Pelodiscus sinensis: one gene and its partners. The main gene of each other region encodes a partner of the protein of the gene in region 3 in a complex. Links are inferred from orthologs where the notes say so. Each region holds a gene or a part of one and is shown on either strand. Other genes may lie near its edges.

Region 1 (7,695 bases), on a different chromosome or scaffold from region 3:
CCCTGAACCCTCAGAAAAGGCCATCTCCCTTGGCCTAGCTGGGAAGAGGGGATACACAGGGGTTTCTCTAAACAGCATCCTTCTCCCCAAATCTCCCAGCCCCTGCTGGTCTGGAGTAGGGATGGAAAATCCCCACTAATCAGTTAACCGGTTAAACGTTCGGTTAACCCAATGTTTAACTGGTTAACCTAACTACGCGGGATCTTGGTCCTGGTCCCAGAGTGGTTGCCGCTGGCAACAGGGGTGCTGCTGCTGCTGATGGCAGACTGTAGGTGGGGGGCTGTGGCCGAGTACCAATTGCCCATTTCCATCCCTAGTCTGAAGAGGTCATTTCAAATCGGGCCTGGCATCCCCCTGTCAGGAGCGGGAGACGGGCGGGAGTCACATCTGGATCAGGGAACCGCCCCAAAGTTGGGATCCTCTGCAGGGAGGAAACCTACTTCACTCCTGACTGGAACCGGGAACCGGCTTGTATTGACTCAGAGCTGGGTTTGAGTTTGGGATGAAGAGGCAGGGGCAGTTTGAATGTCGCTGGGACGCTCTGGGGGTAGAAGTAATTTTATTTACTATGGAAAAAACTGCAGATTCAAAGGTGAACAGGTAAGAGAAAGCAAACGCGGACCCGTCACACGGAATTGAAATGGAAAGACGCAACCTCTGGCTTTACGCTTGTTTATTAGACAAATCCCCTTTTCTATTCCCTCCGAACAGTTTCCCAGCACACCTGTCCTAGGGAGAATCCAGGGTTTCACGGACAGGCTGCCCTCAGTTTCTGGGAAAAAACCTTCATGCAAAGGCTGCGTCTACCTTGGCACTTCACAGTGCTGCATCTTTCTGGCTCAGGAGTGTGAAAAAACAACCCCCCGCCAAGTGCAGAAGTTACAGCGCTGTAAAGTGCCAATGGGAACCAGGCTACAGTGCTGTTTGCTACTCTCCTCATGGATGTGGTTTACATAGAGCGCTGGCCTGGGAGAGCTCTGTATCAGAGGCAGCAGCGCAAGGTGCCAGGAGGGAGCCGGTCCGTGAGGGGAGCCAGTTTAAAAACCAACTCCCCAAGCAGACCAGCTGCCTGCCTGCCACCCCATGCTGCTGCCTCTGATACAGAGGCAGCAGTGCAGGGTGGCAGTAGCCCCGTCCGTGGGGGGGTCTGAGCTGTCCGAGGATAGAGGCTGTTCCGTGCGATGCCTCCCCTGCTCCTGTGCAGCCTCTCCTGCCCCCCCATGCTGGGGGGCTGGCGGCATGGCAGAACCGGTGCTGGGAGGAATCTACCTTTTAAGGTGGCTCCCTGCAGCACCGGCTCCTGCCCCATCCCACTTGCTGCCTCTGATACAGAGGCAGCAAGGCTGGGCGGGATGCAAGTAGTTGAGAAGATTAACCGATAAGCCTAGTCTTACCGGTTAATCGTATACTCGACTACTTGTTTACATCCATAGCTTAAAGCTGCTGCGCTTGAAACTTTTAGGTGTAGAGAAAGCCTCTGATGCAACATAAGCCTGCTAGTAAAAGGCTTCCCCCCTTCCCCTTCTTTCTGGCCTGGTGACTCATTGGTGTGTGTGTGGGAATTCCCAGCTGTCTCCTTGTCTTTCCATTAACTCTAGTGGTCCCAGCATTGTCTTTTCCCAGCTGAAGGATGGACGAGTCGCTGAAGTTGGTTCCGTGGAAACAGCTGGCCTGGTGCACCTCCCTGCCTTATATGCCAGGTGATGTTGTAGTTTACAATTACAACTTTCACATGCGTGTATGCCCTGCGTGCAGATCTCCTAATGCCCAGCAAGTTCAGAACATCACCAACTTTCCTTAGAGGCCTTACTTGACATACTCTTCTGCACTCACATTGTGTACAATTGGTTGATTCAATTGCTTAGTCTTTTGGGGTTCAAAAGACCCCCTCTTTGCTTCTTTGGGGTCCGGACTTGTATAGTCCCAGTCATCTGAGCTGTATCCCCACCCTCTGAAATGGGGGCGGAGAGGGGGGGATGCTAGAGCCTAACAGGGGGGCTGGAGTCTACACCTGGTTCTGCCACCGATTAGCTGCGTGACCTTGGGCAAGTCATTCTCTCCATGCCTGGTTTCTCCGGTGGAGGTGAAATGGGATTCAGTGCTGGTTTCTGCAGTCACGCCTCAGCCCGCCCGTGATGGATGGGTTCTAATAATGGAAAAGCTCTCCTGCTTCGCCTGCCCTGGTGCTTGGATAGTTTGTCTCCCAGCTGCGCAGGCCGGGGCTGGAGCCAGCTCTCCGGAGTGAATCCACCGCACCCCGCTGCACCCCCTTGGGACTGGCCCCCAGTCTCTGCGAGGTGAAGGGGTGGTCATGGGGCTGCTGTCATGCTCCAGTGGGGTGAGGGCACTTCCCTACGCTCAGGATCCCTGCCAAAGCGAGCTGTGGCCTAGCGGGTGGCGAGACAAGGGAGGGAGGTGGGGAAACACAGAGCCAAGCCCCCCCAATTCTTTCCTACTTAGCCACAGACCCCCACCAGCCACGTGAATTCTCTCCCCCTGTCGCCTGTCATGGGGCTTCCTCTGTACTGGGGTGTAGAGCGTACAGCAGGGCTGGGGAACTTTTTTTAGGTCGGGGGCTGCACACAAGTGGGAAGCAAAACCAAACCAAAACAAGAAACCCCTCACTGACATAGCCCCCAGTGGAGGAGACAGACCCACCCCCCATTCCCCTCACACACCAGAGCCTAGGGCGGCCCGGCCTAGTAGATTTTGTGGTTCCAGCCCCATGGTGGGGCAGCAGTGGGGCTGGAGTGCCAGCGCAGGCTACCCAGTACTGGGAGAGGCCCCTGAGCCTCGGCCCCCGGGTCTGAGGTTCCCCACCCCTGGAGTACAGCATATGGGCTGGCCACAGCCCACTCACTTATCAACCCCTCCCCCCCATCCCAGCTCTGGTCCTGCCCCATCGCTGGCCCTGCTCAGCCCGTCCAGCATCCTGCCAGGGTTGGGGTGCGGTGGCTTGCCCCTCTCCTGGGGGTGGGGTGCAGGGCTTGTCCTGCTCCACCCGCCCAGTGGTCTCCTTGGGGAGCAGAATTGGGTCATGAGGGCTTGCAAGGCCCCGACCCCCACGCCTCAGCTGGAGCCCCGAAGTGGGCGGAGAAGGACCAGCGTCCCTGCCCTGTCCCCCATGCCCTGGCAGGAGTACCGGGCAGATGGAGGGGGTAAGTCCCTGACTCCATTCCTCAGCTGGGTTGCTGGGTGGGAGGGGCAGCACGGGGGGGGGGGAGGGGAGTGCACTTTTCTTCAGCCCCCTCATTTACTCCAGGGTCTTGGCCACAGCATCAGTTGCTTCCCAGGTGGCTGGTGGGGGAAGAAGTGGCCCCAATGACTCCTTTCCCCTCCCTCCTTCTCACCCTAAATTGGAGCTCATCCAAGTGCCCTAGTCTACCTGACGTGGGGGGCATGTGGGGGGCTTTGAGGATCATCAGGGCCTGTTGGGAGCCCCCAGGGGGTGTTGGGGCAGGTGGGTTCTGCTAGGAAGTCTCTGGTAGGGGACAGGTTCCTGGCAAAGGGTGGTGGGGGCGAATGAAAGGAGGTGGCAGGGCACAGGGGGAGAGAGGTGGGTGGGTTACCAGCTACCGACCTGCAGCAGAGCTCTGGGACCCAGGCCAGCTGTCACTGCACAATAAGGCCAGCTAAGCAATACAGCCGCTCACCGGCCAGCATGCTCTCATGGCAGGGGCTCTGGGAGGCTGAGATCTGTTCCCAACCAAGCTCCCCCCTCTCCCATCCCAGCAGTATTGCCCCCCCACACGGCCGCATTGAGCCTGTGCCTGGCAGGAAGGGAGGGGAACCGGTCCAGCTGGGGGTCCCCATCCTGGGACTCAGAAATCTCTCTCAAGGTTACCACCTGCTGGGCGGAGGTCGGGACTGAGGGGTGCTGGCAGACGGGGGGAGGGAAAGAAGGGGGGACAGTGTGTGTGGAGGGAGCCCAGGGATGGGATGGGGGGAGCTGTGCGTGGAATCCAACTTACCAGGCGGGTAGCAGGTTACCGGGCGGGTAGCAGGTTAGCGCTGAGAGCCAACCCAGCGCCACGCCAACCCGGGACCCCCCAATAAAACAGGTCTGGGGGCTGAGTATCCCCGCAACCCCCCACAGCCAGTTGCAGGGAGGCGGGATCCAGCTTTTGGTGGGCTGGAGCAGTGGCCTGGGGGGCGGGCTTGAAAAGAGTGGCAGTAAAATACCCAGGGCCAGCTCTCTGCAGGATCTGAGGGGGGGCAGCAGTGCCCCCCATGGTCCCTGGGCAGGGGGGAGCGGACCCATCACTGGAGCCCTGCGCCCAGCCATGGCCGTGGGTTTGGGGGGGGGCTCTGTGGGGAGTAGGGAGGCATGAGCCCCCCCCTTCGGGAATCCCCATGACGGGGGACATCTCCTGACATCTGCCCCCCCCACTTAGCGCTGCTGGCAGCCAGGCCCCTCGGTAGGGGGGGAGGATCGGGGGGGGGGGGAGTTCCAAAGCCGGAGGGGGGGGTCTTTGCCTGCTTGCAGACCCCCCCACATCGCTCTGTGGGGGGGGGGGGGCGCTCGGACCACACCCCGCCCCCTCCGGGCCGGCGAGCCCCGGGGCTCGCCCCCGCCTCTCGCCACCCCCCTCCCTCCCTCCCCCGCCTGCCTGCGCATTGTGTGGCCGCCGGGAGGGGCCGGGCGGCTGCCGCCCCCACACGCCCCCGCCCCCGCCCCGGGCTCCTCCTCTGCCGGGGCTGGCTTGGGACACGAGTCCGGGGCGAGCCAGGCCGAGCCGCCGCGAGCTCCATGGTGCGGGAGGGCGGCATGGCCCGGACACCCCGCAGCTCCACCCAGGAGATCCAGATGGACGTGTTCGAGCACCCCGGCCTGCAGGTGGGTCCCCCCCCCCCCGGAGGGGGGCTGCAGCCAGAAATACCGGGGGGATGGACCGGACCGGATCGGAACCGGCCCATGACCCGCTGCCCTTTGCTTTTCCGAGGGGGTTGCTGGAAAGTGCAGGGGGGCTGAGACGGGCTCGAACCGATGCGGGGGGATCGGAGGCAGGTTCGCAGCCTGGCAGCTTTCTGCCCCCGCCCTTCTCGCTGCTCTCGCCGGGTTCCAGCTCAGCTGAAACCCCCCCCCCCCTTGGCACCCACCAGGCAAAGCGGGGGCCCCACGTGCCCCCCATCCTGTGCCCAGAGGTCACCAGGGAGGTGAGCAAGGGGGTGGGTGGGTCCTAGGGGTGGAAGCGGGTGGTCTTGCGGGGGACCTAGCTGCCCTTGTTTGCTGTGTCACCGTGGTCTCCCCGTCTGGAAAATGTGGGTCACAATGCTGAAGGGTCTGTGAGACTGGGCCAGTCCTGGCCCGGAGGGGCCCCCGGGGTGCCACTATGCCTCCTCTGGGGCTCGCGCCGGGAAACTTTGGAGCAGACGGGGTAATTTGGTAGATCCAATCCAGAGGCACCACGCCTCTTTATTTCCCCTTCTGCTTGCTAGTGGATACTAAAGGGGTACTTCACCCCTGCTGGAAACCCGCTGTGGGGTTTGGTGTAGCACTGCCCGATGGAGGAGGAGGTGGGGATACCAGCACAGATACATTGTTGTGATGTCGCCTGCTGGGGATACCAGTATCTGGTTGGGATACCAGTGCCTGCTGGGGATACCAGTATCTGGTTGGGATACCAGTGCCTGCTGGGGGTACCAGTATCTGGTTGGGATACCAGTGCCTGCTGGGGGTACCAGTATCTGGTTGGGATACCAGTGCCTGCTGGGGGTACCAGTATCTGGTTGGGATACCAGTGCCTGCTGGGGGTACCAGTATCTGGTTGGGATACCAGTGCCTGCTGGGGGTACCAGTATCTGGTTGGGATACCAGTGCCTGCTGGGGATACCAGTATCTGGTTGGGATACCAGTGCCTGCTGGGGTACCAGTATCTGGTTGGGATACCAGTGCCTGCTGGGGATACCAGTATCTGGTTGGGATACCAGTATCTGGTTGGGATACCAGTGCCTGCTGGGGGTACCAGTATCTGGTTGGGATACCAGTGCCTGCCGGGGATACCAGTATCTGGTTGGGATACCAGTGCCTGCCGGGGGTACCAGTATCTGGTTGGGATACCAGTGCCTGCTGGGGATACCAGTATCTGGTTGGGATACCAGTGCCTGCTGGGGATACCAGTATCTGGTTGGGATACCAGTGCCTGCTGGGGGTACCAGTATCTGGTTGGGATACCAGTGCCTGCTGGGGGTACCAGTATCTGGTTGGGATACCAGTGCCTGCTGGGGGTACCAGTATCTGGTTGGGATACCAGTGCCTGCCGGGGATACCAGTATCTGGTTGGGATACCAGTGCCTGCCGGGGGTACCAGTATCTGGTTGGGATACCAGTGCCTGCTGGGGATACCAGTATCTGGTTGGGATACCAGTGCCTGCTGGGGATACCAGTATCTGGTTGGGATACCAGTGCCTGCTGGGGATACCAGTATCTGGTTGGGATACCAGTGCCTGCTGGGGTACCAGTATCTGGTTGGGATACCAGTGCCTGCTGGGGGTACCAGTATCTGGTTGGGATACCAGTGCCTGCCGGGGGTACCAGTATCTGGTTGGGATACCAGTGCCTGCCGGGGGTACCAGTATCTGGTTGGGATACCAGTGCCTGCTGGGGGTACCAGTATCTGGTTGGGATACCAGTGCCTGCTGGGGGTACCAGTATCTGGTTGGGATACCAGTGCCTGCCGGGGGTACCAGTATCTGGTTGGGATACCAGTGCCTGCTGGGGGTACCAGTATCTGGTTGGGATACCAGTATCTGGTTGGGATACCAGTGCCTGCCGGGGGTACCAGTCGCTGGTTGGATCTGTTGCTCAGGGCTACTTAGCAGGGTGGAGAAGGGGAAGGGTTACCCATGTCTGGATGGACCACAGGGCTGGGAAACACAAACCCAGCCTCCACCAGCTTAGGACATGGCTCCGGTTAACCCTTCCCCACCTGGAGGGCCACCAGTCAAGAGCTTAACTTGTGCCAGGGCTGAGCCTCGGCCTCTCTAGGCTTGGCGGTTCGTAGCTCCAAGGCCTCTGGGCTTGCAGGGTTCATTGTGAATGTAAAAAACAGGCTTGCAGCTATTTCGTTACAGACGAAACCCTGCACCAGCCCCCTGGATGGGGAATCCCAGCCACCCACCGCGGGTGCAGGGAATGTGACTGATGGATGGACCCTGATTGGAGCGATGGGGGTGGGGAGGAATCCTAAAAATACCAACTCCTGCCCTGCGCAGGGACCACGTGTCTGTGGGCTGGGCAGCAACTGGGCCCAGCTGTCCCTCTGAGATGGCTCATTCCGAGACCTGCCCCAACACGTCCCGGCTGCTTGTCCTGTGCAGAAAGGCCTCGCGCTCACTGGGAGTTTCAGGAGGAACCAGCTGGGAAGGGACTGACGTCCCAGGGCGAGGACGGGGAGGGGGAGCAGGATTGGGCCCTCTGAGACAGCTGCGGAGGGGTCCAGCCACAATTCTGCAGGGAGGGCTGGCTGCGGGTGGGGTGGAAATCTTGCCAGCCCCAGCCTCCCCCAGCAGGAGGCGCTGTAGAGGATGGGGCAAGCGCGCTGGCTGTGGGACAGCTCTCAGCTGCTGGCTCCTTCTAAGTCTGTGCCACCAGCTGGGTATTTGGAGCATTTGCCAGGCGCTGTTGGTCAGGGGATGACTCAGTGGCAGCAGGTGTGTTCGCTGGCTCCCTACGCGTGTGCATTTGCCTGGCTG
Region 2 (7,558 bases), on a different chromosome or scaffold from region 3:
AACAACCTTTAAACGTGTGGTTAAACTGTAAATCTCTCTGCCTTAAACCATAAGACCACAAGTTCTAAGGCCAGTTGTAGGCTAATGGGGAAGGTCGAATTAAGATATGCAACTCCAGCTTTGTTAATTATGCAGCTGTAGTCAACATACCTTAATTTGAGTTTCTGTGCAGTCTTCACAGTGAAAGGTTGATGGAGAAACACTCCCATCAGCTTCCCTAACATCTCACAAAGAGCAGCAGTACCAGCACCTTCCGAGTTTGATTTAACAGGTCTTTATTAGACCCACTAAATCACAATCTGGAAGATCGATCGTGGCAACATTGATCTTCCGTGTAGTGAAGACATGGCCAGAATCGTATCCTATATTTAGTACAGCACTAAGATTAATAAGTAATAAACAACAGAAGCAATACTAGTTATTCCACCCGAGTAGTACTAGGTAGGTAACTATTAACCCAGTAGTAAATAATGATACTTTTTCAAATCCTGGTGACTACGTATGATTTTCAGAAAAACAGGTTTACTGACACACCGGTCAGCTACTCCAACTTTGTTTCCCTCCTCTTTCTTGTGTAGTCCAAGTCTGACAACTTCAGCTGGCATTTCTCCTCAGCCATATGGAATCATCACAACTAGGAGTGCCATTTCTGGAGCTGCGTAGTCTAGCAGCTAGAGTTGAATACTGAAAGCCAAGACATCTGAGTTCTTTTCCAAGTGCTATCATAGATGCTTTGCATGGCTGGCCTCTGGCCAACCTTGGACCCTTCTTGTGCTTCAGTTTCCCTAATGTAAAAATGAGGATGATAGCACGTACCTAACAGTAGAGTGTGTTGTAAAGGACTCTGTTAGAACTTCAGATGACATGCATGAAAGAATTCAGTATTATTGCATATAATGATTTTGAAGCTGAATTCCATTGAATCCCAGGAGTATCTGCCAAGCCCTTTAAAAGTATGCCCACCTCTCCCGTAATGAAAGGTCATCTCTGTTTCAGTCAAAGCTGTTCTGCAGAGAGGCCTTCAGCTCCATAATTACCTATTTGTTTACTCGGCACTTTAAGAAGCCAATACAGAGGGCATGGGTAGCTCAGCTGGGAGATGTCCATGCAAGCATATGCTGGTGTCTGTCAAAACTATCTAACACTTTTCTGCTGGATAGATGATGAAGCTGTTTTACTGAGCCAGCAGGATATTTACGAGTTATAAATTTATTCAATAAAGCGCGGTATTTATGTGTTTCTCCCAATCTGTCTCCCCTTAAACATAAAGCTTCCTACATGTGCACAGAAAATGATATTGATAAGGTCATTAGCTATATTAAAATGTATTTATTATATCAACCAGAAATGGGACTAAGGCAAACCTCCAGATTAAAACACCCCCAAACATGGGGGAATGCCAGATTGGAACTCGGATCTGAATGCTATGGATCAGCCTCTTCTGTCTGATAATAAATAGTTTAGTCAGGTTGAGGATTATCACTATATGATTTCATAGTCATCTTACAAATATATTAAAATCTAATTGTACCTTCAACCCGGGGTGCTAATCAAAAGGAAATCCTGTTATTTAGGGGGATTTCTGTCTAGGAAATAATCCAAGTTGGTATTAGCCTCTTGAAATTGGAAAAGTCAGGAAAAGAGTATTAGCACAGGTTGCATGAATGCAGCAGACTTTGCAATCCGCAAAAATGTAATACAACTACTTGCAAATCATGCTAATGTAATACCTTTCCAGGAAACTAGCGAGGGGCGCCAGGCTACCATGCTTCCCGTTGATTTTAATGGGACTATTTTCAGGATCTCTGACTACTCCGTATGAAGAAAAGGGTCTGAATAGACTTCTTTCTTCACAAACACAGAGCACCTTTGCTTTCTGCCACTCTGTGAAATTTAAGGAGGCCCTAATAAGCCAGTGATAGATTATTTCTCACTTAATTACAGCATTTTTTGGCATTTGGAGAACTATGCCATTGCATGCAGTTCCACACTGCCCTAAGTAATACTGAAGAGTATTAAATAACTTTGAAATAACTTTCAAAAACAAGAGGTTCTGGCATATTGCTCTGAACTACAAACATTTTATAATGAACCAGATATCATTCCCACCCCGTAATCCCCACACAGGCAAAACTCCCTGTGGACTCAATGGAAGTTTGGCCTTTATAAGGCCTAGCATAGCTTTTGCAAGGTTGTTGATATCAGCAAAAACATCAGTGGGAAAATATCCTTCTTTCTGATTTCTCTCTGTGCCTTTTGCCTTCTCCTATCTGGCCCCCTTTATGCCAGCTGCTTTCTGTGCTGTATGGAAACAGCTGAAGAGCAGTGTGCTAAATATGCTCACAGATCTATACTGTGGAAGTGCATCATGCATTTAAGATAAGGCCTCAACGAAATGTGACAATGAGGTGTATTTTCAGGCTAATATGAAAACTAAATTGACGTGTTGAATCTTGTAAGATCAAGTGCAGTGGGAGCAAGAATCACATTTTTTCCAGCATGTTTTTTCTCTTCCTAAAAGACGTCACTAAGAATAGCCTGACATTTTCTCCCATGCATTTTTGGGGTGGATGCGGAATGAATGCAAGCACCTACCTCCTGTCAGAGTTATCTTCCCACAGCTCCTCTCCTTGGTAACTTGTTCTTGGATGTAAAACTGCTTTGTGCAGAGCCGCCATAGCCCGAAGTGAGCAGCCTCACAGGTGGAATTGTAATGCTCCACTTTATGGCTTAGCACTGCCCAGTGATCAGTCACCACAGCTGCAAACATTAAAGAGACGCCAACCAAAATAACAGAGAAAGTCACCCGAATTTTCAGTGCTTTGCCTTCGTCCATGGCTAGGGTGCACCGGAGCGCATAGGGCAGACTCTTTCGGTGATTACTGCCCTGTCGAGTTTTGTTTGTCTACTTGAAGGAGAGCTGCAAGTTATTCAAGTGGTCTTCCAAAGTCTTGGCGTGTCTAAGCATTTCCAAATAGATTCCAAATGTCATCCGTGTGTTGCAAAAGTAGAGCAGGTTGTGGGCTGGCTTGGACAGCTGGCCACATGTACAGCTGTTGAAATATATCAGGAGACAGGGTGACTAGACTTGTGAGTGGGGCTTCTATTAATGCACCTAATGAATAAAGTAACTGCGGGAGCTCCAGTTACAAGCTTGTCCCTGCTGGGTTTGTGCAGCAAGTTCCATAAGCCAACTGAGAGCAAAGCTAGCTCCGTGTAATTAATATCCACAGCCATGAGACCATTCCCTTCTCACTCAAGGCATGGCTGGGAACAGAGACCGGTGCAAACTTTTTTAGAACGTAAAAGCATTTTTCTTTGTGATAAAGATGGGGGTGAACCCACTTTTCTTCCACAGAATCCATTATTGGTTCTAACGATACCCTCCCCTACACCCCGAGGCTGGAGTGTTTCAGGGGCCCAAACACACCAAACTTTGGTGGAACTGGAATTGTCTCTGATTTCAGAATAGAATTTTGTGGTTCAGCCTCGTTTTTACTACACATAATTCAGTGGCACTGAGACCAGTGAGAGAGAGAATGAAGTCTACACTGCAGCTTTAGCTACAAGTCGGTTGGCTTTTAGATCGTGAGGTAGAAGCTCATGACTTTAGCACCTAAAGTCCTAGGTTTAATCCCATGACAACATACGAATGGCCATACTGGGTCAGACCAAAGGTCCATCTAGCCCAGTATCCTGTCAGCCAACAGTGGCCAATGCCAGGTGCCCCCAGAAGGATTGAACAGAACAGGGAATCATCAAGTAATCTCTGCTCTGTCATCTATTTTCAGCTCCAGACAAACAGAGGCTAGGGACGCCATTCCTACCCATCCTGGCTAATAGCCATTGATGGACCTAACGTCCATGAATTTATCTAGCTCTTTTTTGAACTCTGGTAAAGTCCTGATCTTCACAACATCCTCTGGCAAGGAGTTCCACAGGTTGACTGTGTATTGCATGAAGAAATACTTCCTTTTAACCCACCTATGAATCCCACCTGTCTATACCCCAGGGCCATGGAACCACGGTGCCCACTATCTACAGACCAGGACTACTGAAAACCTTTCATGCTATCTGTGAACACTTGGTTTAGGTATTCATCAGCCAAAATTAACAATCAGCCACGAGTCTGACCAAGGAATGTCTGCAGCACCACTGAAAGAGAATCTCTTCACCCGTCAGCAAGCGCCTACTTAGGGCTGGAGTGGGGAAGGATACAAATTAAATACAACGCTGAGGGGAAAAGCATTTTCCACAGCCCAACAGTTTTTCTCTTTTTCCAGGCTCGCCTCCCAAAGGACCGTAACTAAAAGAGCTAGCGTGTGACCGGCTCAGTAGCTGCTGGTATGCTGCTGTGCATATCTGGCAAATAGGTGACTGAAGCCGGGTTTGTCAGCAGGCCATCAATGCTTGTTTCATGGAGGTGGGGCGGTACCTGGCCCTTGTGCTCCGCTCTGTCGCATCGCGCTTTGTCTTCTACCAGTGCGCGTGTGTGGTAGGTTTTTAGCCGGCCTTGGTTGTGGTCTTGAAAATAGAGTAAAGAGCCACAGTTGGCTTCTTGCAGAGAAGAGAAGTAGAACGAGCCTAGAAAAGCAGAATGATTTGGTCTTAAACACATCACTGTCCTAAAGCTATAGCTGGCCATTATGGTACTTTCCCCTCTGTGATGGGGTATACAACCCCATCCCGGGCAGCACAGGTGAATGAGCTAATATGGTTTCAGGTGGCCTGCTCCCTCACATCTGAGAGGTGTCAGAATTGGATGGAGGAGCTTCAAAGGGAGAAACACAGCTCAGGTGAGGGCAGTCCATGGAAGAGAGCAGACCTTCAGCCCTCTGCTCCTGAAGAGAGGGCCAGGAGAAGACAGAAACTCCTCTGATAACTGGGTGAGCTGGCCAGCCAGTTAGCTAGATGTTACATAAGAATAAGAACATACAAAGGGCCATACTGGATCAGAACAAAGGTCTGTCTAGTGCAGGATCCTGCCTTCTGACAGTGGCCAATGCCAGGTGCCCCAGAGGAAATAAGCAGAACTGATAACCATCAAGTGATCCCTCCCTGGTCACCCATTCCCAGGCTCTGCCAAAAAAGACTACAGTCAGCATTCCTGCCCATCCTGGCTAATAAGCATTGATGGGCCTATCCTCCATGAATTTATATAGTTCATTTTTGAATCCTGTTAAAGTCCTGGTCTTCACAACATCCTCTGGCAAGGAGTTCCACAGGTTGACTGTGCATTGCATCAAAAAATACTTCCTTTTGTTCGTTTTAAACCTGTGACCTATTAATTTCTTATATTATGGGAACAAGTAAATAACTTTTCCTTACTCACTTTCTCCACACCAGTCATGATTTTATAGACCTCCATCATATCCCGCCTTAGTCTCCTCTTTTCTAACAAGACAAAAAGTCCACGTCTTTTTAATCTCTCTTCATATGGCAGCAGTTCCAAACCTCTAATCATTTTTGTTGCCCTTTTCTGAACTTTTTCCAATGCTAAAATATCTTTTTTGAGATGAGGCGACCACATCTGTAGGCAGTATTCAAGATGTGGGCGAAGCATGGAGTTATACAAAGGCAATGAGATATTCTCTGTCTTATTCTCTATCCCTTTGTTGTATTTCCTTGTCTTGAGAGGGAACTTTACCTCTCTTTTCACCTGTAAATTCAATTTAGGGCCACAGCGTGATGAGAAATCAGCCTGAAGAAACTGAATCTTAACCCAGAGTTGGGATGTTTCATTTGTGTTACTTTCCCTTTTGTTCTATTTTTTTTACAGTTGTGGACAGGGTGGATTATCCAGGGCCCAGCCAGAGGGCTGAGCCTCAGAGGACTTGAACTGGTGTGAGAACACTGCTTGGACATCACAAAGCAGAGGCCTGGCTGAGTGTTGGTGCCCCACCGAGAGCCTGGTGGGATTGTGGTGGCAGGGGGAATGTTGCAGGGAAGGAACCCTGGGGACCCGTTGTGACGGTGCGTTGGGGGTCCCCGTCTCCTGCACCCCGAAATGGCACAAACAGACTGCACCAGCCGGTGTAATAGAGGAAGTTTATTGCCTCTCCAGGATACAGCACAGCATAGATGTAATCTGGTCACAGAGCTGGGCTAGGATGCCTCAGGCCCCCTTGAGATGGGGGAGACTGGGCCCCTAAACTCCAGTCCCTTTCCCTAGGCTGTCTCCTCCATGCTTCCAGCCAGCAACTCACTCACTCTCTTCCCGCCCTGCCCCCCAGCCAGGGCAGCTTTCCACCTTCCTTTGTTCCTCTCCATGGGGGGTGTCTGGCCACTGGTTTGCATAGTGACTCATCCTGTTTTGCTGGGTCGTGGTACCCACGGCAGCCAGTGGGGGTTACCCCAGAGCCAGCAGCATAGAAACCAGCCAGGTACCCCCACTACGTCACACCCGTCAAACAGCAAAATTCCAAGCACGGTACAAATGCTCTATATTAGTTAAGCTTTGCAGCATCCTGTTGGAGGTAGATAAGTAGAGTTTGCCAGTATTTTTGGAACAAAAACTTTTCCTTGTCAAAAAGAACACCTGTAGAACAACACCTCCACCACGTTATTGCCACAAAAAATGGACACATATTTTCATTTTTTCCACAAATGTTTTTGTAGCATAAAACTATTTTCAACAAAGAACGCTGAGGGAGAATCTCTACCTAATTTAATCCAGGTGGAGCCTGTAGTAGCAACTCTGGTTTGTACTTACTGTGTATCATATGACAGTGGACTACAGAAGTGGGGGAGATGCCAGCAGGGATGTCCAAAGATATGGGGCTACTATGGAGCTGAGGGAGACTAGAACAGCAGTTCTCAAACTTTTGGAGCTCTGGAGCCCTTTACATGCGTAAAAATTTATGCGGAGCCCCAGCGGTCCACTGCTTGTACGTGTTGTACTTATCAATGTTTCTAGTTTGTCCAGTTTGTCAACCTTGCGGAGCCCCTGGAGATGCCCTGGGGCTCCGCGGAGCACAGTTTGAGAAACACTGGACTAGAAGATCCTGGAAACAAGATGAGGGTCCAGGGTCCAGGGTCTCTGTGCAGACAACCCTGGCCTCTCTGGGAGCCCTTGATCTCCATTCTGTGGCAAATCTGTGTGTGTGGAGAGGAGCAGGGTTTGGAACCCTACCCTACTAGAATGGTCTAGAACCGTGGTCCCCAACACGGTGCCTGCGGGTGCCATGGCGCCCGCAGGGGCATTTCCATGCGCCTGCCAGGTGCTCGGGGCTGGCCTGGCCCCGGGCGCATGGTGGGGGGAACGCCGGCCCCGGGCACGCGGCGCATGGCGGGGGGAGCGCCGGCCCCGGGCGCGCGGCGCATGGCGGGGGGAGCGCCGGCCCCGGGCATGCGGCTATGGGGGGGGCCGTCCCCGGGCATGTGGCTATGGGGGGGGCCTCCCCCGGGGCGCAAGTGTCCCCGCCCCCTGGCGCCCAACGGTCGAACGGCCCCGCCCCCTGGCGCCTGGCGGGCGAACGGCCCCGCCCCCTGGCGCCCGGCAACCTTGAAAGGTTGGGGACCACTGGTCTAGAATAAACCCTTGTGGGGAATCTCTTGG
Region 3 (7,085 bases):
TGGTTTTGCAGTTCTTGCACCGCAGGCCGAATTTGTTGTTGACTGGGGGGGAGGGGAGGAAGAATCGATGAAACGTCCCAGCCCTGGAACCTGCTCGGCTAGAGACCCCCCCATCCAGGGGTCACAGCTCAGGGGTGCGGGTGGGGCCTGGATGGGGACCGGGTTCAGGGCTGGTACGGGGCCTTTGGAGCAGCAAAGGCGGGGCGGTACCCCCCGTGACAGAGCCCCTGGGAGCCGATGTCTCCATGAGGGGGGGCCTCTGCCAGGCCCCTCCAGCCCCCCCCAGCCAGGCAGCAGGGGCCCGTTACTGCCCCCCGGACTGGCAAAGGTGCCGGGGGGGCCAAGTCCCGGCCTGGGCCCGACCCTGCTCCTGGGCCGTCCCACACCTCAGCCACGCTGCCCCCCCCCCACTCACGGACGATCATGCGGGCGCAGACGTCGCAGAACTTGGGCTTTTTGAAGTAATGATCCTTGAACTTGTGGGGCTTGTCGTTGACGGGCTTCTGGGGCTCCGGGGGCGGCTCCGGCTCCTCCTCCTCCTCCTCCTCTTCCTCCTCGTAGATGTAGTAGATGGGCCCCCCCGTGGGGCTGACCAGCTCCCCGTTGGGCTGCGGCTCGGGCGCCGGCTCCTCCTTGGGCTTCCGCTGCAGCAGCCGCTTCAGCGCCCCGAGCTGGGGGGAGACACCGGGCACCTGGGAGACACCCACAGCCCTCCCCGGGGGAAACCGAGGCACGGGCAGGGACGGGGGCTTGCCCCAGGGTTCCGTGGGGAGTCAGAAGCAGCCACTGGGCAAAGAGCCCAGGAGTCCACCCCCCCAGGGCACCGGGCCGGGCGTTCGCCCTGCAGGCTGGCACTGCCGGGGTGGGGAGGCCACTGCCCCAGGAGGGTGGTAGGAACCCAGACGGGGCCCTGGCCCCTCTGGGCTCCGCACTCCCAGGCCTCTGGGGGGGGGCTAGAGCTGCCTTGGCTGCCCACGTCTGCACCCCCAGCTGGCTCCACCCCCTCGCTAAGTTCTCAGTGCCGGGGCAGAGCCCTGCAGGGGGTGGGCGCGGCGGCGCGGCAGGGGGCACAGAGCAGTGGGGCTCCCAAGCCCAGGAGCATGATGAGCCGGTCCCCACCCTACCCCTCCTCCAGCAAAGGGCAGGGGCCAGCGGCCCCCCAGGGAATTGGCGCTGCCCGGCCTGGGGGAGGGCTCAGCCCCTCACCCCCGTGGGGCCCTGCTCCAGCAGGGAGTGAACCCCGACACCCCCAACTCATCGGATCGAAGGCCCCGGCGCTGGCCTGGGGCTGGGAACGTGGGGTGCGCTGGGACTCAGCCTGGCTGCCCCACCAGCCACCCCCGGCCCAGCCAGCGCCCCTCGATCTGGGGCGGGGGGAGCCCAGACTGAATCTCAAACCGTTGGGGGGGTCTCAGCCACTGGGAGCCACATCCCCCCATCCGGCAGCCGTCGCAGGGGGACAGGGCAGGCTCCGGGGCCGATCCTGTGGGCGCACTTACCCCGCTCCCTGGCTTCCCTCCCGGTGCGGGTGAGGCCGGCGGCGCCAGCGCCTCCTTCTCCGTCATGCTGCAAGGGGGAGCAGAGGGGTCACGGGGGCTCCCCAGCCACCCCCACTAACCGGCAGCCAAGTGACAATGCCGCAGGATGAGCGAGCACCGCACCCCCTGCCCCACGGCAGCGCCAGCTGGGCCCTGCTCAGGGATCCACGGGCACAGGAGTCCTGGGGCCTGCCCATGGTGCCAGGCTTGTGCGATGAGCAACCCGCCCGGGGACTGGCAAGGGCCGGGCACCCCCAAGAGGAGACAGCACCAGGCCCCCAACCTCCTGGTCGCCCCCTTTCTGCTGTGCCTGGTGGCACCTCGCCCACAGCCCCCCGCACGCCCGGCCCAGGAACACTGGCGTAAGTCCTGGCGTCCGACGAGCCCCTCACCCCCCAGCTCGCAGGGGTGTGTTACCCCTGCTGTGTGTGTCAGACGCGGGAGGGGGTCTGTGCGCGTGTGGGCCAGTCCCAGGAGGGCGTGTGTGTGTGGGGGGAGAGGGGGGGCAGTTGCAAGAGGGTGTGTGCACAGGGGGGCAGTCACAGGAGGGCGTGTGTGTATGTGCGCGGGGGGGCCAGTCACAGGAGGGCGTGTGCGCGGGGGGGCCAGTCACAGGAGGGCGTGTGTGTGGGGGGGGGGTTGCAGGAGGGTGTGTGCGCGGGGGGGGCCAGTTGCAGGAGGGTGTGTGTGTGTGTGTGTGGGGAGGGGGGAGTCACAGGAGGGTGTGTGCGCGGGGGGGCCAGTCGCAGGAGGGTGTGTGTGTGGGGGGGGGTTGCAGGAGGGTGTGTGCGCGGGGGGGCCAGTCGCAGGAGGGTGTGTGTGTGTGGGGGGGGTTGCAGGAGGGTGTGTGCGCGGGAGGGCCAGTCGCAGGAGGGGGTGTGTGTGTGTGGGGGGGTTGCAGGAGGGTGTGTGCGCGGGGGGGCCAGTCACAGGAGGGGGTGTGTGTGTGTGTGGAGGGGGGAGTCACAGGAGGGTGTGTGCGCGGGGGGGCCAGTCGCAGCAGGGTGTGTGTGTGTGTGTGTGTGTGTGTGTGGCAGCAAGGGCAGGCCACTAGTAATAGCAAAGGCGGGGAGAGGGGGAGCCTTTGGGCATCCTGGCTGCTGGCCAGCCCCCTTGCCCCAATGTGGAAGGGAAGGGGGCATCTGAGACAGGTGGGCAGCAGTGGACAGAGGAGAAACCCAGCAAGAGGTGTGTGGGTGCACACGCGTGTGGCGAGTGCGGGTGGGTGCACACGCGTGTGGCGAGTGCGGGTGGGTGCACACGCGTGTGTAAGACTCACCTCTGAGCTTCGGGCTCCCTCCCGCTGGATAAATCCTCCCCGAAAGCCGCTCAGTGCCCCACAGAGACGGGCCCCGGCTCAGAGCCCCTCGGCCGAGCCAGCACCGGGCTGCACGGGGCGCGCGGCTGGAGACGGACTGACAGGGCGAGAGGGGAGCGAACAGCTGAGCCCCATCGGGGAGGCTGACGCTGAGAAATCGGAGCTTGCACACGAGCCGGCCTGGCCGGCAGGAGCTGCTGGCTGCTTGCCCGGTGGGGCCGGTGGACGCGGCCTAAGGCAGCCAGCCCAGCCCCAGGTGGGACGGGGGGGGGGGTTGGTTCCCACGGCCCGGTCACCAGGGACAGGGTGAGCCTGCGGCCTTTGGCTCCCTGCAGACACGGGGCTCTGGCAGGCTGGGGGGAGCCCCTCGGCGCTCGCCCCCCCCCACGCAGGGCCTGAGCCGCCTTGGGGCTGCTCTCGCTTGCACTCAGCCCCTGGGGCTGCAGACGATACCCACAATGCAGTGCGTGCGGGGCAGGCCGGAGCCCCTCCCTGTGCAGGCTCTGATGGGGGGCGGCTCTCAGGGGCCTCGAGCTGCCACCAGCCCTTGTCCCTGGGGGCTCTCACCCCGTCCCTGCTGCCGCCGGGTGCCCCTGCCTGTGGCGAACGCCGGGTGCTCAGGGACCGGGGCCGCTGCCGGGTGGCAGGCTCCAGGCCCCACTCCGCCGCCGGGCGCCGGAGCCCTTGGGGAGCAGGACACGTGTCTCCAAACACGCCCAGGGCCGTTCCCAAGGGGCTCGGCGGCTCCTCGCCTCTGTGCCGGCCGACAGGGAGCCAGGGGCTGAACGCCCAGGGCACGGCTCTAGGACAGGCTGCGCTCCACGGTCACTGGGTCCCGCCTGGGCTACGTCACATCACAGCAGGGAGCTAGGGAGGTAGCAAAGGGGGAGGAAGGGGGGGGACTTCAAAGGGGCAGCGCCGCACGGAGCCCGGGATCAGCTGCTCCGTGTGGCGCTGCCCCTTCGAAACGCCGCTGTGGCATACAAAGGGGCGGCGCCGCACGGAGCCCGGGATCAGCTGCTCCGTGTGGCGCTGCCCCTTCGAAACGCCGCTGTGGCATACAAAGGGGCGGCGCCGCACGGAGCCCGGGATCAGCTGCTCCGTGTGGCGCTGCCCCTTCGAAACGCCGCTGTGGCATACAAAGGGGCGGCGCCGCACGGAGCCCGGGATCAGCTGCTCCGTGTGGCGCTGCCCCTTCGAAACGCCGCTGTGGCATACAAAGGGGCGGCGCCGCCCTCTCGAATAATTGAATAGTCGATGCCAAAATGCATCGACTATTCGATTTGTCAATGACGTGATCTGTAACATCCTTAGGCCGGGCACGGAGCCCCCGCGCTGGGACCGGCGTGTGGTGCCCCGACCAGAGCAGAGCGGGGGCCTGGCACAGACGCCCCCTCCGAAGACACACGGAGGACGCCCCCACCCCTAAGGGCGTGACCCCTTTCGGATGAGTTGGTTGCCCCCTCCAAGGGACGCCCCGTCCTGCTGAGCCCCGGGTCCACTCCCGGCTCTGCTGCCCACACGCGCCAGCCCTGAGGTGAGTGATTCGCCCCCTGCAGACGGCTCTTACCTCCCTGGTGCACCTCGGCTCCCAGCGTTCTGCCCAGCCCGGGCCCCGCACAGGCCCAGGCTGGGCCCTGTGCCTCTTCCGCAGTGAGGGAAGCCAGGCTGGGGCCCAGGGGCTCTCAAGCTGAGGGTCACAACCCTGACAGCCATTCAGGGCAGCGGCTTGGCCTGCTCACTGGTGATGGGGGCACGTCCCTTGGTGATACCCCAGGAGGGGTACAGTGGGGGGGGCTTGCCCTGCGGGGAGGGGGGAGAGAGGGAGGGAGGAGTCCCAGAGCTGCGGGGGGGGGGGGGGTCTGTCGGTAACCCCTCGCGCTGGGCACAGAAATGGGAAGCCGCTTGAAAGTGACAAGATGATTTTTTTTTTTTATATTTAAAAACAAACCCAACCCCCCCGCTCCCTCTGGATTAAATAGACTGTACAGAGACCAGCCCCTGCCAACCGCTGCATGTGCAAGTGAGCGCAGCGCCCGCCGCGGCACAACGCTGGACCCAGCGCAACCTGTGTCCGGGGGGGCAGTGGGGGCGCGTTCCCGGGGGGGGGGGGGGGGAGGAAATGTTCTTCCACTCCAAAAAAAAATAATGATCAATTTCTCATCTCTTCATTGTGTCCATATAAATAGGGGCCGGGCGCGGGGCGGGCGGGGGGGCGGGGCCGGGGGGGCCCCTACTGGGAGCTGGCCCGCTCCAGCACGCGCAGGTCGTAGCTTCTCTTGGCCACGCGCAGCCGGAAGCGGCTGAGGGAGTTGTTGAGGCGCAGCGAGGCGTTCTGGGCGGCCAGCGGGCTGGGGAAGACGGCCACCACGGTGTACAAGGCAGCGAGGTCCGGGTGGCGGCCGTTCTCCGCCGGGCCGTTGTTGTCGCCGGCGCCGCCCCCGGCGCCGCGCCGTCCCCGCGTCTCCTTCAGCCACTGGATCTTGGCCCCGGCCATGGCGAGCTGAGTGAAGAGCTTGTCGGCCTCCGTGCGCGTGATGCCCTCCGGCAGGTCCGTCACCTCCAGCACCCGGCCCAGCACTGCGGGAGACAAGGCCGGGTCAGCGGCTGGGAGGACTAGTGGTTAGCATGGGGGAGGGGAGTGGCGCCTATCGGTTGGAGCAGGGGGCTAGGAGCCAGGACTCCTGGGTTCTACTCCCGGCTCTGGAAGGGGGCCCTCAGTCCCTGCTTGGATGAATTGGTCAAGTCCCAGGGGTGGGAGGCGGGAAGTCCTGGTGCACTCCCAGGTCACCCCCTTCCCCAGCAGGGGCTGTGTAATGCAAGGCCCTGGCGCCCCCAGGCCAGTCCCCACCAGGCGCAGGCAGACAGCTGGCTGTCAAGGGGGAAGTGATCAGCCCCCAAGGCCCCCTGGCGCCCCCAGGCCAGTCCCCTCCAGGCGCAGGCAGACAGCTGGCTGTCAAGGGGGAAGTGATCAGCCCCCAAGGCCCCCTGGCGCCCCCAGGCCAGTCCCCTCCAGGCGCAGGAGGCCAGCTGGCTGTCGAGGGGGAAGCGTCCCGCCAGCCTGGGGAAGTGGGCACGAGGGGCTGAGCACTTGGGGCTCCGCCGGGGCACCTGGCTGTAGCACGGGGCCTTTGCGGACAGCCAGGCAGCCCCAGCCCCTCCGGCTCAGGGCAAACCCGGCTCCCGAGAGGGCAGGGGAGCCAATGCCCAGCGCAGGGCTTCAGTTAGACCCGGCTGAGAACGGAGCTGAGCCGGGCGGTACCCGGGCCGCGCCCGCAGGCTGCAGCTGTCAGGGCCCGGAGCCTGTCCTGGCCGCGGCTGGGGCTCCGTGCGCCAGGCAGCGTGAGCAGCCGTCCCAGGGCCCCAGCAGACCAAATTCTGAGCTAATATTAAACCAGCCTGTAACAGATCCCCAGCCCCTCCCTGCTCTGTTTCCACTGCCCGGGGCGGGAGGGCGGGGGGTTTAAAGGGGCCCTGGCGTCACTGCTGCAGCTGTCTGGGGGTGGGGCAGGCATCTGCCTTGCAGCCTGGCCCCCCTGTCAGCAAGTGCTGACTCTGCTCCCGGGGGGCACTGAGCAACCACCCTACAGGCCCATGGGCACTTCAACCCCTGCCAGCCCTCGGGCAGCGGGCGGAGGCAGCCGCTGGGATCCAGCAGGGAGGGGCAGAGGGCTCCCAGCAAGCCAGCGACAGCTCTGCTCTAACCACTAGACTCCCCTGCCCTCCCTGAGCTGGGAACAGAATCCAGGCGTCCTGGCTCCCAGCCGCCTTAGCCAGTAGGTGCCTCTGCCCCCAGAGGAGGGGATAGAACCCACACGTCGATTCTTCCCCTCCCTTTAAGCACTGGGCAGTGTGCGTGTCCCGGCACACGCTCCCGCCCGCCGCAGCCGTATCTTCGCTCGGCACGGGGCAGGCAGGGCACAGGGGGGCTCTGCTGACACTGCAGATGCCCTCCAAGGGCAGCACTTCCGCAGGCCACGGGTCTCTCTGCTCTAGACCCCAGCGGGTCGTGGCCAGGATCGGGGATTTCCAGCCTGGGCCGCCGGGCGGGAGCAGCCCCCGAGGCCTGTGGCCACTTGCCTACGTCGCTTGTGCCGAGGTCGGTGGACGCGGACTTGAGGGCTTGTCTCTTGCTCCGGTTTCCGTGCTTCATCCCGGTCTGGCCCTGGAAGAGCAAAGCCAGACACTCACCCGGAGAAGGCCCCGGCCCTGCGGAGCTGGGATGCCCG

The links. The genes of interacting proteins can lie anywhere in the genome.
Region 1: STAC3 (region 3) and CACNB1 share a complex: the UniProt entries of both Homo sapiens proteins name them as parts of the calcium channel complex. The link is inferred for Pelodiscus sinensis from reciprocal best matches to the Homo sapiens genes STAC3 and CACNB1.
Region 2: STAC3 (region 3) and CACNG1 share a complex: the UniProt entries of both Homo sapiens proteins name them as parts of the calcium channel complex. The link is inferred for Pelodiscus sinensis from reciprocal best matches to the Homo sapiens genes STAC3 and CACNG1.

What each region holds. Positions count from the first base shown.
Region 1 is NC_134739.1:12,091,649-12,099,343, forward strand, and holds the start of CACNB1 (voltage-dependent L-type calcium channel subunit beta-1), read left to right. Parts: upstream 1-4,680; 5' UTR 4,681-4,750; coding exon 4,751-4,837; intron 4,838-7,695. UniProt on the Homo sapiens protein: Regulatory subunit of L-type calcium channels. Regulates the activity of L-type calcium channels that contain CACNA1A as pore-forming subunit.
Region 2 is NC_134730.1:21,672,455-21,680,012, forward strand, and holds the start of CACNG1 (voltage-dependent calcium channel gamma-1 subunit), read right to left. Parts: upstream 3,016-7,558; 5' UTR 2,837-3,015; coding exon 2,596-2,836; intron 1-2,595. UniProt on the Homo sapiens protein: Regulatory subunit of the voltage-gated calcium channel that gives rise to L-type calcium currents in skeletal muscle. Regulates channel inactivation kinetics.
Region 3 is NC_134729.1:3,046,692-3,053,776, reverse strand, and holds the start of STAC3 (SH3 and cysteine-rich domain-containing protein 3), read right to left. Parts: upstream 3,005-7,085; 5' UTR 2,818-3,004; intron 1,567-2,817; 5' UTR 1,566-1,566; coding exon 1,500-1,565; intron 672-1,499; coding exon 416-671; intron 43-415; coding exon 1-42. Other genes in the region: R3HDM2 (R3H domain-containing protein 2), read right to left, coding at 5,090-5,436, 6,937-7,021. UniProt on the Homo sapiens protein: Required for normal excitation-contraction coupling in skeletal muscle and for normal muscle contraction in response to membrane depolarization. Required for normal Ca(2+) release from the sarcplasmic reticulum, which ultimately leads to muscle contraction.